2 linked regions of the Macaca mulatta genome follow. The protein of the gene in region 1 purifies or fractionates together with the protein of each later gene. This does not show direct contact. Links are inferred from orthologs where the notes say so. Each region holds a gene or a part of one and is shown in the gene's direction. Other genes may lie near its edges.

Evidence for each region.
Region 2: the proteins of RPL19 (region 1) and UBE2O purify together in Homo sapiens (affinity purification with mass spectrometry; 3 studies listed by BioGRID and IntAct, with this or other methods). This does not show direct contact. The link is inferred for Macaca mulatta from reciprocal best matches to the Homo sapiens genes RPL19 and UBE2O.

What each region holds. Positions count from the first base shown.
Region 1 is NC_133421.1:63,528,377-63,536,423, forward strand, and holds RPL19 (large ribosomal subunit protein eL19), read left to right. Parts: upstream 1-2,879; 5' UTR 2,880-2,910; coding exon 2,911-2,915; exon of another isoform or gene 2,916-3,044; intron 3,045-3,778; coding exon 3,779-3,885; intron 3,886-5,196; coding exon 5,197-5,319; intron 5,320-5,897; coding exon 5,898-6,018; intron 6,019-7,018; coding exon 7,019-7,129; intron 7,130-7,463; coding exon 7,464-7,587; 3' UTR 7,588-7,594; downstream 7,595-8,047.
Region 2 is NC_133421.1:86,137,091-86,145,037, reverse strand, and holds the end of UBE2O ((E3-independent) E2 ubiquitin-conjugating enzyme), read left to right. Parts: intron 1-3,185; coding exon 3,186-3,389; intron 3,390-3,485; coding exon 3,486-3,543; intron 3,544-3,684; coding exon 3,685-4,355; 3' UTR 4,356-5,845; downstream 5,846-7,947. Other genes in the region: SPHK1 (sphingosine kinase 1), read right to left, coding at 7,714-7,947. UniProt on the Homo sapiens protein: E2/E3 hybrid ubiquitin-protein ligase that displays both E2 and E3 ligase activities and mediates monoubiquitination of target proteins. Negatively regulates TRAF6-mediated NF-kappa-B activation independently of its E2 activity.

The sequences.
Region 1 (8,047 bases):
TGGGAGCCGAAAGCAGCGCGGCACAGCCAGCACCCGGTCCAGCCACCCAGCTCGGCCTTCGGCTGCCTCCTTCCTGCCTTCCCTCGCTCCTCCCGCTCTCTCCACTGCCGCCGCCGCCTCCCCAGCAGGCTCAGCATCTCCCCGCGCCCCTCCCTCGCTCCCTCCCTCCGCCCGCCCCGGCCCCGCCCCTCGCAGCCCCTCCTCCGGCTCGGCGCACACAATGGGCGTGCGGCAAGCTGGGAGGCAAGCGCCTCTCGGCTCTAGAGGGCCGCAGGTGGGCCTCTGACTGGCTGTGGGGTGCAGGCGGCCCGCTGGGGCGGGAAGGGAGAAACTAGGCGTGGATACTTGGGGAAGGGGTCGGGGGTCGGTCTACCAGTGGATGCCGAGCGCTGATGGGGATGAAGCGCGGACTGGCATGGCTAGCACCGCCCCCTTTTGTCTCAAACCTATCTTCCTGCGGGTCCCCCCAACCCACTCCTGTTTGGGCCACCAGAACTTCCCGGTCCCGGTGATCCTGGGACCTGGCTTTAACTCCTTTCTCCCCAGTGCGGGGCCCAGGCTGCCTTAAACCAAACAGAAAAGCCTCTACCCCTCCAACATGGCTCTGGGGCTGCCGGTGGGAGGCTGAGGCTGAGATGGGGACGGTGTCCAACAGCGACAGCAAAAGAAATCCCAGGGGTCCAGGAGTTCTGCCCTAATCGGTCACTAGGATACACGCCCCCACCCCTGACCCGCTCTTCCAAAAGGCCATGAATGGGGCTGGGCGAAGTCCCTGCTGTTGGATGAGAAAAGAGGAAGCAATATGGAGCCGAGAAAGAAGAGGCTGGTAAAATCAGATCTCATGACCTTTGACCTAGAATTGCTCCACCTTTACCCCTGATTTAGGGACAAACATCCAAGGTCTGGACTCCACCCACCAAGACAGGTGGATAGAGGAGGAATAGGAGATTCTGGGCAATAGACCCTGGTGCCAATTTGGCTCAGGCTGTTTCTGGTTGTATAGCCCTGGACAAACCACCTCTCTAAGCACCAGTTTTCTCCTCTCCTATAAAATGTGGTTGCTGGCACTGTGGAGTCTGTGTCACCTGGGATTATTGGGAGGATGAGGGAATTAAATGAATTGCTAGGGTGTTTGGAGAAGCTGTAAGTTTCAATGAAGGAGTCAGCCATTCCCTCCCTACTCCACCCCCGCTCCACAGAAAGGAGAGGTGGAGAAGACCCTCTCCAGGTCAAGTGACCTTAAAATAAGGCCACCAGCTTGCTGTGTTCTGCAGGAGAGGAGACTATGGGACTCCTCCTCCTCACCTGTGATAACAAATGAATGGCCGCTCTGTCATTCCTCTGATCACAACACCTTCGGGAAGGAGGAGCAGTGAGTGAAGATAAAGCCCATTAGAAACATTCCAGGAGAGCTCCAATCCTGAGCACGGCTTCCACCTGACCCTTGGAGAGGAGAAAGCCTGGCATAACCGCAAAAGCATGGGCTTTGCAATCAGAAATACCTGCGTTCTCAATCTGTTACCTCAGCTGTAAAATGAGGGCAACGCTAATTGTGTTGTTGTGAGGAAGTAGCATAAATGTTGATTCCCTTTCTCTTTCTTCTACTTTCTCAGCCAGGAAAGTTGAGATGAAACGGATAGGGTGATCAGCGGGAACCAATGATGAGTTGGAGCCTCAATTCAGATGTAGACTTCTTAAACCCCAGAATGCTCTCCTTGGATTTTTGCATTGGGTGTTCCAGATCAGAAGAAAAGAACTGAGTGGTCCTGCCTTTTTTTTTTTTTTTGAGACGGAGTCTCACTCTGTTGCCCAGGCTGGAGTGCAGTCGCACAATCTCGGCTCACTGCAACCTCCGCCTCCTGGGTTCAAGCGATTCTCCTGCCTCAGCCTCCCCAGTAGCTGGAATTACAAGCACGCGCCGCTACGCCCGGCTAATTTTTGTATTTTTAGTGGCGACAGGGTTTCGCCATGTTGGCCAGGCTGGTCTCGAACTCCTGATCTCAAGTGATCCACCCGCCTTGGCCTCCCAAAGTGCTGGGATTACAGGCGTGAGCCAGCGAGCCCGGCCCAATTTTTTTTTTTTTTTTTTAATTTTACTTTCTGCAATCATTCATCCATTCAGCCAGTGCAGTATTTCTCAGGTGTGTTCGATCGCGGATCCATGCCTACCGCAGTAGAGCTGTGAGCCAAAGGAGACTACGAGACTAGTTCTCGCCCTCCAAGAGCTTGCTGTCTTAATGCCTTCCTTTGCTAATTGCAAATGTTACCTCACGTAATTTCCACAACTGATGATAGAAACATTGGGATTAGGTCCACTTTACAGAGGAGGAAATTGAGGCACCAAGAAATTAAAGACCCGCAGCAGCGTAAAAACACTAACATCTTTTAGTGATCTATTCTGCACTCTAGGGGTTTTCAATCTACTAAGAGAGTGAATAAGAGGTCGCCTTTGTCTGATACCTGTTGTCATTCTCTCTCGCTTCTTCAACTGACTTTTTTTCTCAGCTAATAAAGCATCCACCCATAACCGGCCGAACGCCCGCAAACACCAAGCTACTCTAGCAAAACCTCTCTCACTCCGCCTGCGCAATCCAGCTGACTTCCGGTTAAAATAACCACGTGATCGCGTACCCTTGCTGCGCATGTCTAGTAGGAAGTCGGACTATACCACTTTCCCTACGGAAGGGGTACATTTTCTATGTTTTTAAGTTTAAAACCGATTTCTGATATTAGGCTTTTATCATTTCAGGCCTATACGGAGGCTATGAGTGAGTTTGGTGTGGCGGAAGATGAAAGAACCGGACGGGAATACGGACGAAATTGGAGAGGGGGTTGGGCTCTCCCCTTCTCAGGTAATGGGAGGAGCCGGTCCCGAGCGAGCTCTTTCCTTTCGCTGCTGCGGCCGCAGCCATGAGGTGAGGGCGCGCTGATCTCCCACAGGCGCTGACGCTTTTCGGCGGGGGACTGTTGGGCTTGGGACCGCAGCCGGGGTTGGGGGAGATGAAATGGAGGCCGCCCTAAAGCGGCCGGTCCCGGGGTTTGGGGTAGGCCGGAGCACTCTCGTCCCGGGCCTCCGGGGTGGGGGGGGGGGGCGGGGAGCGTCGCAGCAACTGAGACCCGGAAAAGGCTGCCTCGGGTGGCGGCGCGCCGCACATGTGTCGGGTCGACCCACGCGAGCAAAGCAAACGTAGCGAACGGGACCGAGCCTTGGACCCTTTCTTGCATGGCACGCCCGGAGCGGAGCAGATCTGTGCTTTCACGTGATCTAGGGCAAGCCTAGTGTAGGCCCCAGGCCTCCGACTGCCGAGAGACGTGATCTCTAACTCTTGACGCCTTCCACTCCTTTGGCCATTCATAAAGGAAATCTCTACAAATGGCCGAACGAGGCTTGTTACTGTGATAAAACGGGAAAATGAGCCCAGAAAACATTAACTTGCCTGCATTGCTAGACTAGAAATCAGGTCTACTCGCCTCGAATATTTTTCAAACGCTGAATACCAGAAATGGCATAAGCCCCCTATTCATTCCAGTAAATCCTTAACTTGACTTTTCAGAGAAGAAATGCGAACATGAGGCTCCAAGAGGTGAAGGCATAGCGTGGGCTTTGAAGTCTAAACCCAAGGGGACCAGCTGCACAGCCCAGAGCCTTAAAGATGATTTAGGGAAGAGTCTTATTTCGCGGCTGTCGTGTGGGTCGCAGAGGGCAGGTCTTGATGGGGACTTTCGTTCTTGCCCACGAGTGGCTTTCAGAGTCTAATCATGTTTTCTGTGTGTCTAGTATGCTCAGGCTTCAGAAGAGGCTCGCCTCTAGTGTCCTCCGCTGTGGCAAGAAGAAGGTCTGGTTAGACCCCAATGAGACCAATGAAATCGCCAATGCCAACTCCCGTGAGTACCTGGGATCTGTCTCTTCACCCTACTTCCTTCTCTTGTCCTGCGTCATAAGAACACAGTTGTGTTGACTTTTTTTTTTTTTTTTTTTTTTTTTGAGACAGTCTTGTTCTGTTGCCCAGGCTGGAGTGTAGTGCCATCTCATCGTTGCAACCCGTCCTCCCAGGCTCAAGTGATTCTCCCGCCTCAGCTTCCTGAGTAGCTGGGATTAGAGGTGTGCACTACCACGCCCGGCTAATTTACTCTTTATTTTTTATTTTATTTTTTATGAGATGGAGTCTCCCTTTGTCACCCGGACTGGAGTGCAGTGGTAGGATCTCAGCTCACTGCAACCTCTGCCTCCCAGGCTCAAGCGATTCTCCTGCCTCAGTCTCCCAAGTAGCTGGGACTAAGGCACGTGCCACCACACCCGGCTAATTTTTGTATCTTTAGTAGAGATGGGGTTTCACCATATTGGTCAGGCTGATCTCAAACTCCTGATCTCAGGTGATCCGCCTACCTCAGCCTCCCAGAGTACTGGGATTACAAACATAAGCCAGCATACCTAGCTTGTGTTGACTCTTTACAAACCTAGGAAGGTACGTTCAGAGTATCTACAAAATGGAGGAGTCATTGTATCAGGCTTGCTGTTTTGAGTGTGCTGTAATACATGTAAAAGGTAGAAATGGCCGGGCGCGGTGGCTCACGCCTGTAATCCCAGCACTTTGGGAGGCCGAGGCGGGCGGATCACAAGGTCAGGAGATCGAGACCACGGTGAAACCCCGTCTCTACTAAAAATACAAAAAATTAGCCGGGCGCGGTGGTGGGTGCCTGTAGTCCCAGCTACTCAGGAGGCTGAGGCAGGAGAATGGCGTAAACCCAGGAGGTGGAGCTTGCAGTGAGCCGAGATCGCGCCACTGCACTCCAGCCTGGGTGACAGAGCGAGACTCCGTCTCAAAAAAAAAAATAAAAAAATTAAAAAAAAAAAAAGTAGAAATGGCCAGCCATAGTGGCAGGCATCTGTAATCCCAGCTACTTGGGAAGCTAAGGCAGGAGGATTGTGAGCCCAGGAGTTCAACACCGACCTGGGCAACATAGGGAGACTGTCTCAGACAAAGAGTATCTCTCACAACTTCTGTTTGTGAAGGAAAAAGAAAAGATAGAGGTTTTTTGGATTTTCGAAGGCAAGAAATAAACAAGTTCCAGTGTTTCCATCCTTTTTGAGAGCATGGGGCCGAGAATGTGAGCAGTGTCTGTGGCCTGGCCTATTTGGATTCTGGGATGTGCTTGGGCCCCAGTTGACTGACCAGGTGCATTATGCTTTCCCAGGTCAGCAGATCCGAAAGCTGATCAAAGATGGGCTGATCATCCGCAAGCCTGTGACGGTCCATTCCCGGGCACGATGCCGGAAAAATACCTTGGCCCGCCGGAAGGGCAGGCACATGGGCATAGGTAAGTGTGGTCGTCTTCTCCTTAAGAAATGATAGGTGCTGTCGTCTGTGCTGAAATATATTCAGGATCTAAGCACTCTGTCTCATCTCGAGCCCGTTTCTTACTCCTTGGTATTTGATGTGTATTCTGCCTGTGTGCAAATCAGAAAGTTGGTGCTGGTATTGGAATTGAGAGCATCCCTGGTAGGAGGTCACATTTACTAAGTCCTTACCTACACTATGCCAAGGATTCTGCTGGGTCCTTGAGAATGTGGTCCATCTTAACTCTAAAATTGCTTTCTAGTGTCAGAATGATTGAAGGAAGCTCCTTAAAACGTGCTGTGCTACCTTGGTGCACTGCCTGTTAAACCCACATTCTGTATGAAGTAAATGGGGAATTATTGCCGTATTTGTGCTTCCTTTAAAATTGAGTAAACGAAAGAACTTACGTAGTTGGGAATCATCATCTGGAAGATTGAAGTAATGCTACTTAAAATGAGGTTGTGAGGATTAGATGAGTTAAGACCCTGACTTGAAACTTGGTGTACTATACACAGTGGACCTGGGTAATAGCCCATTCCTAACTCATCTTCTCCACAGGTAAGCGGAAGGGTACAGCCAATGCCCGAATGCCAGAGAAGGTCACGTGGATGAGGAGAATGAGGATTCTGCGCCGGCTGCTTAGAAGATACCGTGAGTCTAAGAAGATTGATCGCCACATGTAAGCACACCCTCTTGGGCCCAGTACCCATTTGCTGCTTTGATGGCTAGTTCATTTTCCAGAGTGGTTTTTTTTTGTGTGTGTTGTTTGTTTTGTTTTGTTTTGAGATGGAGTCTTGCTCTGTCACCCAGGTTGGAGTGCAGTGGCGCGATCTCAGCTCACTGCAACCTCCGCTTCCTGGGTTCAAGTTATTCTCCTGCCTCAGCCTCCTGAGTAGCTGGGACTACAGGCATGTGCCACCACACGTGGCTAATTTTTTTTTTTTTTTTTTTTTTTTTCATTTTTAGTAGAGACGGGGTTTCACTGTGTTAGCCAGGATGGTCTCGATCTCCTGACCTTGTGATCCATCTGCCTCGGCCTCCCAAAGTGCTGGGATTACGGGCATTAGCCACCGCGCCCAGCCCACAGAGATCTGTCTTAATGGCCTTGGGTAGGGAGCTTTTATTGGAGACAGATTCTCGCTCTGTCACCCAGGATGGAATGCAGTGGCATGATCTTGGCTCACTGCAACCTCTGCTTTCCAGGTTCAAGCACTTCGCCTGCCTCACCCTCTCGAGTACCTGGAATTACAGGCATGCACCACCACACCTGGCTAATTTTTGTATTTTTAGTAGAGATGGAGTTTCACCATTGGCCAGACTGGTCTCGAACTCCTGGCCTCAAGTGACGCACCCACATCTCAGCCTCTGAAAGTGCTCAGATTACAGGCCTGAGCTACTACGCCCAGCCACGGGTAGGGAGCCTTTCTAAGAAAGTTTTTCTATTCTGGTCTTTCTTTTTTTCCCCATATGCCATCAGGATAGCCCAACAGTTTATTTGCCAGGCAAGTTCTGTCTAGGAACTGCACACAAAAAAAGTAATGGTTTAGGAAGTAATTCATGAAGCAACAGGAGAAAAGGAAGGAACCTACAAGCTTAGTCACCTTAGGTGGAGGAACAGCTCACAAAGCAGCTTCTGATCCATTACCGACCAGCATCTCTTCACTCCGTGTACCCTGCAGGTATCACAGCCTATACCTGAAGGTGAAGGGGAATGTGTTCAAAAACAAGCGTATTCTCATGGAACACATCCACAAGCTGAAGGCAGACAAGGCCCGCAAGAAGCTCCTGGCGTAAGTTTCTTTTTAGTTTTAGGGGAAAGTTCTTTGACCTTTGGGAGTTGTTCTTAGATACTTAAAATGTGCCAATGCTTAAGTCTTGACTTGCACGCAGTCTGTCATAGGAATATAGCTGTTCCCTTAGAGGTACCCACTCCTCTGTCCTGTACACACCCACTCCTGTATCATAGGGACTGTAGAGGTTAGTTGAAGCAGGAGCCCTTGGTGGGCCCCCCAACTCATTCCTGAAGCTGACTAGGCTCAAAGGGAGAGGTCTAGGGATGTGTTTCTATTTCCCCAGCATCTCATCCCTTCCCAAACTGACCCATCTTTTCTCTTCCCTGGCCAGTGACCAGGCTGAGGCCCGCAGGTCTAAGACCAAGGAAGCACGCAAGCGCCGTGAAGAGCGCCTCCAGGCCAAGAAGGAGGAGATCATCAAGACTTTGTCCAAGGAGGAAGAGACCAAGAAATAAAAGCTCCCCTCTTTGTCTGTACATACTGGCCTCCGTGACTACATAGATCAGCCATTAAAATAAAACAAGCCTTTATCTGCTTTCCTCTCTGCTGCTTGCAAGGTTTACAGCTGCTCAGTGAGGGTTTGTTTGTGTGTTTTGTTGTTGTTTTTTGTTTTGGTTTTTGTTTTTGAGATGAGTCTCGGGGGCCCAATGGTGTGGCCTTGGCTCACTGCAAACTCCACCTCCCAGGTTCAAGCAGTTCTGCCTCAGCCTCCCGAGTAGCTGGGATTACAGGCATGCGCCACCACGCCCGGCTAATTTTCGTATTTTTAGTAGAGACTGGGTTTCACTGTTGGCCAGGTTGATCTTGAACTCCTGACCTCAAGTGATCCATCTGCCTCAGCCTCCCAAAGTGCTGGGATTGCAGGTGTAAGCCATGGCACCTGGCCTGCTCACTGAGTCTTTTACCTTGTTTTAG
Region 2 (7,947 bases), about 23 Mb from region 1:
ACAGGCTCAGTCAGGTAAGGGCTGTCTCAGCCGTGTGTCCAGGCCAGATGGTTCTTTTTTTCCTCCCTCCTTTAAAAAATTACTTTGAAATAGACCGGGTGCGGTCGCTCACAACTGTAATCCCAGCACTTTGGGAAGCCGAGGCAGGTGGATCACCTGAGGTCAGAAGTTCGAGACCAGCCTGACCAACCTGGTGAAACCCCGTTCCTACTAAAAATACAAAAATTAGTCAGATGTGGTGGCGGGCGCCTGTAATCCCAGCTACTCGGGAGGCTGAGGCAGGAGAATCACTTGAACCGGGGAGGCAGAGGTTGCAGTGAGCTGACATTGCGCCACTGCACTCCAGCCTGGACAACAGAGTGAGACTCCCATCTCAAAAAAAAAAAAAAAAAATTACTTTGGAATTAATTATATTATGGTTACTCCTCAAGCCTACTTTTCTTTTTGAAAAATTAAAACATTACAGATCCTTTGAGTGGAAATGGAAGAGCTAAAGTTGCCTTTGACCAGCCCTCACTTCTGTTTCTCCCCGAATCATAGGCCTCTTCCCACACCCAGAGGATTTTTAGAAGTTTAGTGGGTCTCCTTCCAAACGGATGACCTTTTTTTATATTTTTACATTTTTTATACACTCTCATATTTTCACATTCTCATATGTCACCATAAGTACATGGTATTTTGTATGATTTGTTTACACACAGAGTATGTCATTGTACACATCATCTCTAATTTGCTTAAGACCAACCCGTGTTGATTCATATGATCTAGTTTCTTCCTTTTTACCTGCAAAATAGGACAACAGCATGTGGCCACACCACATTCCATTTTCCCACTCCTCTGTTCATGGCCGGGGCCTAGTGTCTCTGAGTCATGTTTACTGAGGCAGCGGTGAGTGCCTCCTCCAGGAACAGGCAGGCCCGTTTGCCTGCCACCTTGTTTACTCAACATTCCCTTACTGGGCCTGTGCAGCGAGCCAGGCACCATGCTAGACTCTGAATATGAGCCTGAGGCCCCAGTTCTGGCCCTGTCCTGGAAGGGAGTAAAGAAAAGAAAGAGCAGGGATCCTGAGAGCAGCCAAGCGAGGCACTGTTGAGGTGGGCCCGGAGTAGCCACAACCCTGGAACAGGGCTAGGCAGAGCCCTAAGTCCCAGTGCTGCTGGAGATTCTTAATAACGCTTTTGGTTTATTCTTGGGTTGTAGTAAAATTCCTTTTGAAAATCCTATTCTGTCTCAGCTCTGCTGAGGGAAGACAGGAACAGTATTTTTTATTTTGTTCTGTTTTCCCCACATCTCACTCAGGAGAAGAAAAGTAGTGCATTCTCTGAAGGCTCCCAGGGTGGCACCAGTAAGAGCATGCGCAGAGATTCCCTCACCCCAGCTGGCGCTCTGCCCTCCCTGCTTCTCAGCTCATCACTGACATCGCCCATTTCCCTGGCAGTTGAGATCCCACACACACACACGTATGCACACACATGCACGCAACTAGATGCACAGATTCCAGATGTCTGTGGAGCGGTGGTCTCCCAAAGCCTCCCTTGCAGTTCAGACCCTCACTGTCAGCTTCTGGTTGTGAGACCATCCCCCTTCCCCAGGCCTCACCAGCCTGGAACTGTCTTTCAGCTTGAAACTGCTTGTACTACTTGCCTTGTTGGAGATAAGGGTTGGAGCAGGTGTTTAGAGGAGTTGTTTTGTTTCGTTTTTAAAAGACAGGGTTGGCCGGATGCGGTGGCTCACACCTGTAATCCCAGCACTTTGGGAGGCCGAGGCGGGCGGATCACGAGGTCAGGAGTTCGAGACCAGCCTGACCAACATGGTGAAACCCCATCTCTATTAAAATACAAAAAATTAGCCAGGCGTGGTGGCAGGCGCCTGTAATCCCAGATACCCGGGAGGCTGAGGCAGAGAATCGCTTGAACCTGGGAGGTGGAGGTTGAAGTGAGCCAAGATCTCGCCATTGCACTCCAGCCTGGGTGACAGCTACACTCTATATCTCAAAAAAATATATAAACAAAAAAATAAAAGATAGGGTCTCGCTCTGTTGCCCAGGCTGGAGTGCAGTGGTGTGATCATAGCTCACTGCAGCCTCAACCTTCTGGACTCAAGTGATCCTCCCATCCAAGCTTCTTGAGTAGCTGGGACTACAGGTATGCACCACCATGCCCAGCTAATTTTTTATTTTTTGTAGAGATAGGGTCTCACTATATTGCCTAGGTTAGTCTTGAACTCCTGACCTCAAGCAGTCCTCCCACCTTGGCCTCCCAAAAGTGCTGGGATTACAGGTGTGAGCCACCATATCTGACTGAGGAATACAATCTTTTTTTTTTTTTTTTTTTTTTTTTTTGAGATGGAGTCTCACTGTCACCCAGGCTAGAGTACAATGGCGCGATCTCGGCTCACTGCAACCTCCACCTCCGGGTTGAAGCAATTCTCCCACCTCAGCCTCCCGAGGAGCTGGGACTGCAGGCACGTGCCACCACGCCTGGCTAATTTTTGTATTTTTAGTAGAGACAGGGTTTCACCATGTTGGCCAGACTGCTCTCGAACTCCTGACCTCGAGATCCGCCCGTCTCGGCCTCCCAAAATTCTGGGATTACAGGCACGAGCCACTGCACCCAGCTGGAATACAGTCTTAAAGTAATGATTCATGAGGAAAAACACCTGATAAGATAAAAACTCATTTCGAGTATTTCTCTTAGCCAAGGTTCAAAGACTCCAGGCAAGAGCCGGGCACGTGACTGCTCGGGGCTGTAAACCCCAGCACTTTGGGAGGCCAAGGCAGGTGGATCACTTGAGCCCAGGAGTTTGAGACTAACCTAGGCAACATAGTGAGACCCTGTCTCTACACAAAATAAAAAAGTCAGCTGGGCGTGGTGGCCCACACTGTAGTCCCAGCTACTTGGGAGGCTGCAGTGAGCTATTATCGCACTAGTGTACTCCAGCCTGGGGGATAGAGCAAGACCCTGTCTCAAAAAAAAAAAAAAAAAAAAAAAAAAGATTCCAGGCTGTTCTGCAGAGAGATTTGTGCTTAGCTTCTCCACTGCTGGTGGCGTCTGGAGTCCCAGGTGCTGCTCATCCTGCGTGATCTGCACAGTGTCCTGGGAAAGAGCAGGTGCAGATGCGGATGCCACATGTAGGACACCCCTTTCCACCCCTGCCAACCTTGGCCTCCCTCCCTCCCTACCTAGGACCTCTTCTCAGCCCTCATCAAGGGCCCCACTCGAACCCCCTACGAAGATGGCCTCTACTTGTTTGACATCCAGCTCCCCAACATCTACCCAGCCGTGCCCCCCCACTTCTGCTACCTCTCCCAATGCAGTGGCCGCCTGAACCCCAACCTGTATGACAATGGGAAGGTGTGCGTCAGCCTCCTGGGCACCTGGATTGGAAAGGTGAGTATAGTGCCAGGCCCCCAGCCAAGAAGGAGGAAGAGCCAGTGGGGGATAGGGGCCTGGGGAACAGAATTGATGGTGCCCTGTGTGTTTCAGGGGACAGAGAGGTGGACGAGCAAGTCCAGCCTTCTCCAGGTGCTCATCTCCATCCAAGGTACAGTTGGGCTGAAGCGGGGGTGCGGACAAGGGAGGACCAGTGGAGGGAAGTGACTCTGATGGTCCCCTGGCAGGTGGAGGGTAGGCCTGCATGGTGGGCTTCTCTCGCCCACTGAGGGAAGCTGTCCCTCCCCCACAGGTCTCATCCTGGTAAATGAACCATACTACAACGAAGCTGGCTTCGACAGTGACCGGGGCCTGCAGGAAGGCTATGAGAACAGTCGCTGCTACAATGAGATGGCGCTGATCCGCGTGGTGCAATCCATGACCCAGCTGGTGCGGCGGCCCCCCGAGGTCTTTGAGCAGGAGATCAGGCAACACTTTAGCACTGGTGGCTGGCGGCTGGTGAACCGCATCGAGTCCTGGCTGGAAACCCATGCCCTGCTGGAGAAGGCCCAGGCGCTGCCCAACGGGGTCCCCAAAGCCAGCAGCTCACCAGAGCCCCCAGCTGTAGCCGAGCTCTCAGACTCCGGCCAACAAGAACCTGAGGATGGAGGGCCAGCCCCAGGAGAGGTCTCCCAGGGTTCAGACTCAGAGGGCGGTGCCCAGGGCCTGGCCTCAGCTAGCAGGGACCACACAGACCAGACTTCGGAGACCGCACCAGACGCATCAGTGCCACCCAGTGTCAAACCAAAGAAGCGGAGAAAGAGCTACCGGAGCTTCTTACCTGAGAAGAGTGGCTACCCTGACATCGGCTTCCCCCTCTTCCCACTTTCCAAGGGTTTCATCAAGAGCATCCGGGGTGTCCTGACGCAGTTCCGGGCTGCGCTGCTAGAGGCAGGCATGCCGGAGTGCACAGAGGACAAGTAGCTGCCAGGTGCGGAGGAACGAGCATCACCGTGGGAGAGGCCAGCCGCCGCTTGCTCACTCCCCGCCGGAATCGCCCCTCTTCCCATGCCCCTCTGTCCCCACTGCAAACCCCTCATTGCCCTCTTCTCCCCAAGGTGAGTTTGATGCTGAAGTGCAAGAAGTGTGTTGAGATGCCGCCGTTTCTATTCTGAAGCGAGCTTTCAACAGGTGGGTCCCCCGTGGCAAAGAAAATCGGAACCCTATTGCCGATTTTCCATTTGTCACCCCAGCAGAATGTCCCGGCACTTGCTCCCTTGCTGTCCCTTCTCAGGTCAGAGGTGGGTGTTCCAGGGCCTGCCGCGGGGCTCTCTGGGCCGGTGCCCTGCAGACCCGCAGGAGAGCACATGTGCCTTGCATGAAGTGTGGGTTGCGCCAACAATTCCCCTGGTCCCTTTCAACCTCTTAAGTTCAACTTGAGCCTCCGTGTGTCCTAGACCCTCCTGCTGCCACCGCCACCAGGTCCTCCCTAGTCCCCCAGCGTCAACACTATACCTTGGGAGTTGTAGCTGCTGTCACTGACTCCTGGCTATACATGGCCTGTCGACCACATTATAACCCTCAGGTCTGTTGAACTTGCTCTCTAAGAGAGGTTGGGACCAGGCTAGGTTCAGGGTGACGCCCAGGAGAGGTGGTGGCCTTCACACATGCACATGGAGTGAGGACCAGGGAGCTGTGGGGAAAGCAACAGCTGTAGGTGCCTTGCTCTTCTGTTGGAGGCTGCTGGGGGCAAGAGCAGCTGCACAAGGCCAGGGCAAGTGCTAGGGCCCCTCCCCTATCACATGGTCACACTGGGACGTGGCGTGCAGCTCACTGAACTCCAAGCGAGCCAGCCCTCTCTTGGACTAGAAGGCCTACTGTCAGCCCTTCGCTTACAAACTGCAGGCTCAATCCAGAAGGGGACGGCCGGCGGGGGCTCTCCTAGTGCCCAGAGACAGGCCCAGAGGTTTACAAGTTTTCTAAGCTTTTGATAATGTGAAGCTCCAGGCCAAGAGGATGCTGTTGAGCACATTGCAGCTATGTAATTTTTGGTGTATGTATGTAATATTTAAGGTTGGAAAAAAACTCAAAAGCAAAGATATTAACTCTTATTAGAAAAAAAGACAAAAAAAAGCCAAAGCATGATGCGTCTTGTCAGCCTTAAGTGGGCTCCACACCTGTGCTGTGCTGTGACCGCCCAGCCAGCAGAGCTGCCGGAGGACGGAGCTGGAACACACACCATGGCATTTGGAGCCGAGTCAGTATCTTGTTTGAGAAACACCCGGAGTGACTGGTGGGGCTGTGCTTCCCAGTGCATTGTACATGTGGAGATGTGAATGCCTACTGCTTACAATATCTGTATAAAGTGCTGTGTGATTAAACTTTTTTTTACTTGCTTTTTTTTTTTTTTTTTTTTTTTGGGTTGGCTCATTAACAAGACAAGGTGACACCATTAAACCTCCCTCTGCCATTCATCTGGGCTCCGTTGCCTTTCTTCCTCTCTGGGGCACTGTGTGCTTGTGTCCCTCACACACACCCTTCCTGGGGAAGGAAAGACCTTGTTGCCAGGGAAGGCATGTGGCAGTGGGTCCTGGCTTTCCTGGCCAGGTGGGGGCCACTGTGAGCAGCACCCCCCACCTGCCCACGCTGCCCTCCGCCTGCCAGATCTGCTTGCATGCCTTTTGTACTTCCTGTCCTGGAGCAGTCCTCTGGCCTCTTCCTGGCTGGTGGTGTGCTCCTTAAGAGCCAGCTTAGAGCAGCCTTCCAGTGGCTGTAGTCTCCAGAGACCTACAACTGACCAGTTCAGCTCCTTCCAGATTCTGGGAGAGCTGACGTCATAGCACCTGGTGGTGGACAGGTGCCACATCTCCTGGACCCTAAGCCAAAATGGTTACCCAGTTTATGAGACTTGCATGCATTCTTCCCTGCCGCAGTCTTTCCACTCCTGCCTGGCACTCCTCCACGAGGACAGGTGGGGAAGGGAGGTGGCTGAGGGAGGCTGGGGGAACCCTAGACCCCTCATTGGTGGGGATGACAGACTCCTTTTAAAAAGGTAAGATACTGACCGGGTGCGGTGGCTCACAACTGTAATCCCAGCACTTTGGGAGACAGAGGCAGGCAGATCATTTGAGGTCAGGGGTTTGAGACCAGCCTGACCAACATGGTAAAACCCCATCTCTACTAAAAATACAAAAATTAGCCAGGCATGGTGGCGCACACCTGTAATTCAAGCTACTCAGGAGGCTGAGGCACAAGAATCACTTGAACCCAGGAGGGTTTTTTTTTTTTTGCAGTGAGCAAAAAAAAAAAAAGGCAAGATACTGCCATTTTTTACTTCTGAAGTCTCCTGCACCTTGCCAATTTTGGGGAGTGGCGGGGGTAGTGTTTTTATTTTGTTTTTGAGACATTCTCACTCTGACACCCAGGCTGGATTGCAGTGGCGTGTTCTCAGCTCACTGCCGCCTTAACCTTCTGGGCTCAAGTGATTCTCCTGCCTCAGCCTCCCAAGTAGCTGGACTACAGGTGCCCATCACCACACCCTGCTAATGTTTGTATTTTTTGTAGAGACGGGATTTCACCATGTTGCCAAGGCTGGTCTCAAACTCCTGGGCTCAAGTGATTCACACGCCTCGGCCTCCCAAAGTGCTGGGATTACAGGCGTGAGCCACCGTGCCTGGCCCATCGGTTTTCTAATGCCCTTAACTCAGATATTTTCCCTTTCCTGCTAAATCTACATGGGGCTCTGATGAGATTTTCTGGGACTAGCTGGTTGTGTGGCCCTAGCTGAGACATGCCAGGTCCGAGCTGCAGCCTGTGTGTGGTCAGGCAGCTGGCTGAACTCTGAGGCTGCTTCAGGCTGGAGGTACTGTAATTATCACGGTAGTAGAGGCATCCCCCACCGTTAGGCTGAACCAGCTCTGGGCCTGAGTCCCCCACCAGAGTGACTATGCCTGAGGCCAATAAAATCCATTGTCCATCCCAGGGGGCAGTATTGGCCATCATTAACATTAAATTCTATAGTCCTGGCCAGAGCAAGAACCCATTCTCTCCCCAGTCACCAGGACAGGACCAGCAGGCTGAGAATGTCACTTTATTTGGATTTGGTTCATGGGGTGGGGGTCCTAGAACAAATTGGAAGGCCTTAGGCAGCTGGGCCCAGCCAGCTGGGCTCCTGACCCCAGGACCTCATTCTGGCCTGTCCCCCCAAAGCATAGCTTCCACCTTCTCACCCTTCTCCAGAGGAGTCTCCTCCACCCCACAGGAGCTGTGGACAGGCCCTGCAGCCCTGGGGAAGGAGGAAGGATCCTGCAAGTAGACACTAAGGCACAGCGTGGCCCAGGGGTCATAAGGGCTCTTCTGGAGGTGGCGTCTGCTGGGGCTTCCAGCTGGGCAGGGGCTCCACGCACTCACTGACCATCCAGAAGTAGTTTGGGTGCACCTGGCCCTGCACAGCCTCGCTAACCATCAATTCCCCATCCACTGTAAACACACCTCTCCCATCCTCGGGCTCTAAGCGGAAGGCGACCACAGGCATGTATACCAAGTAAGGGCATTCATATTCCATATGCCTGCCCTT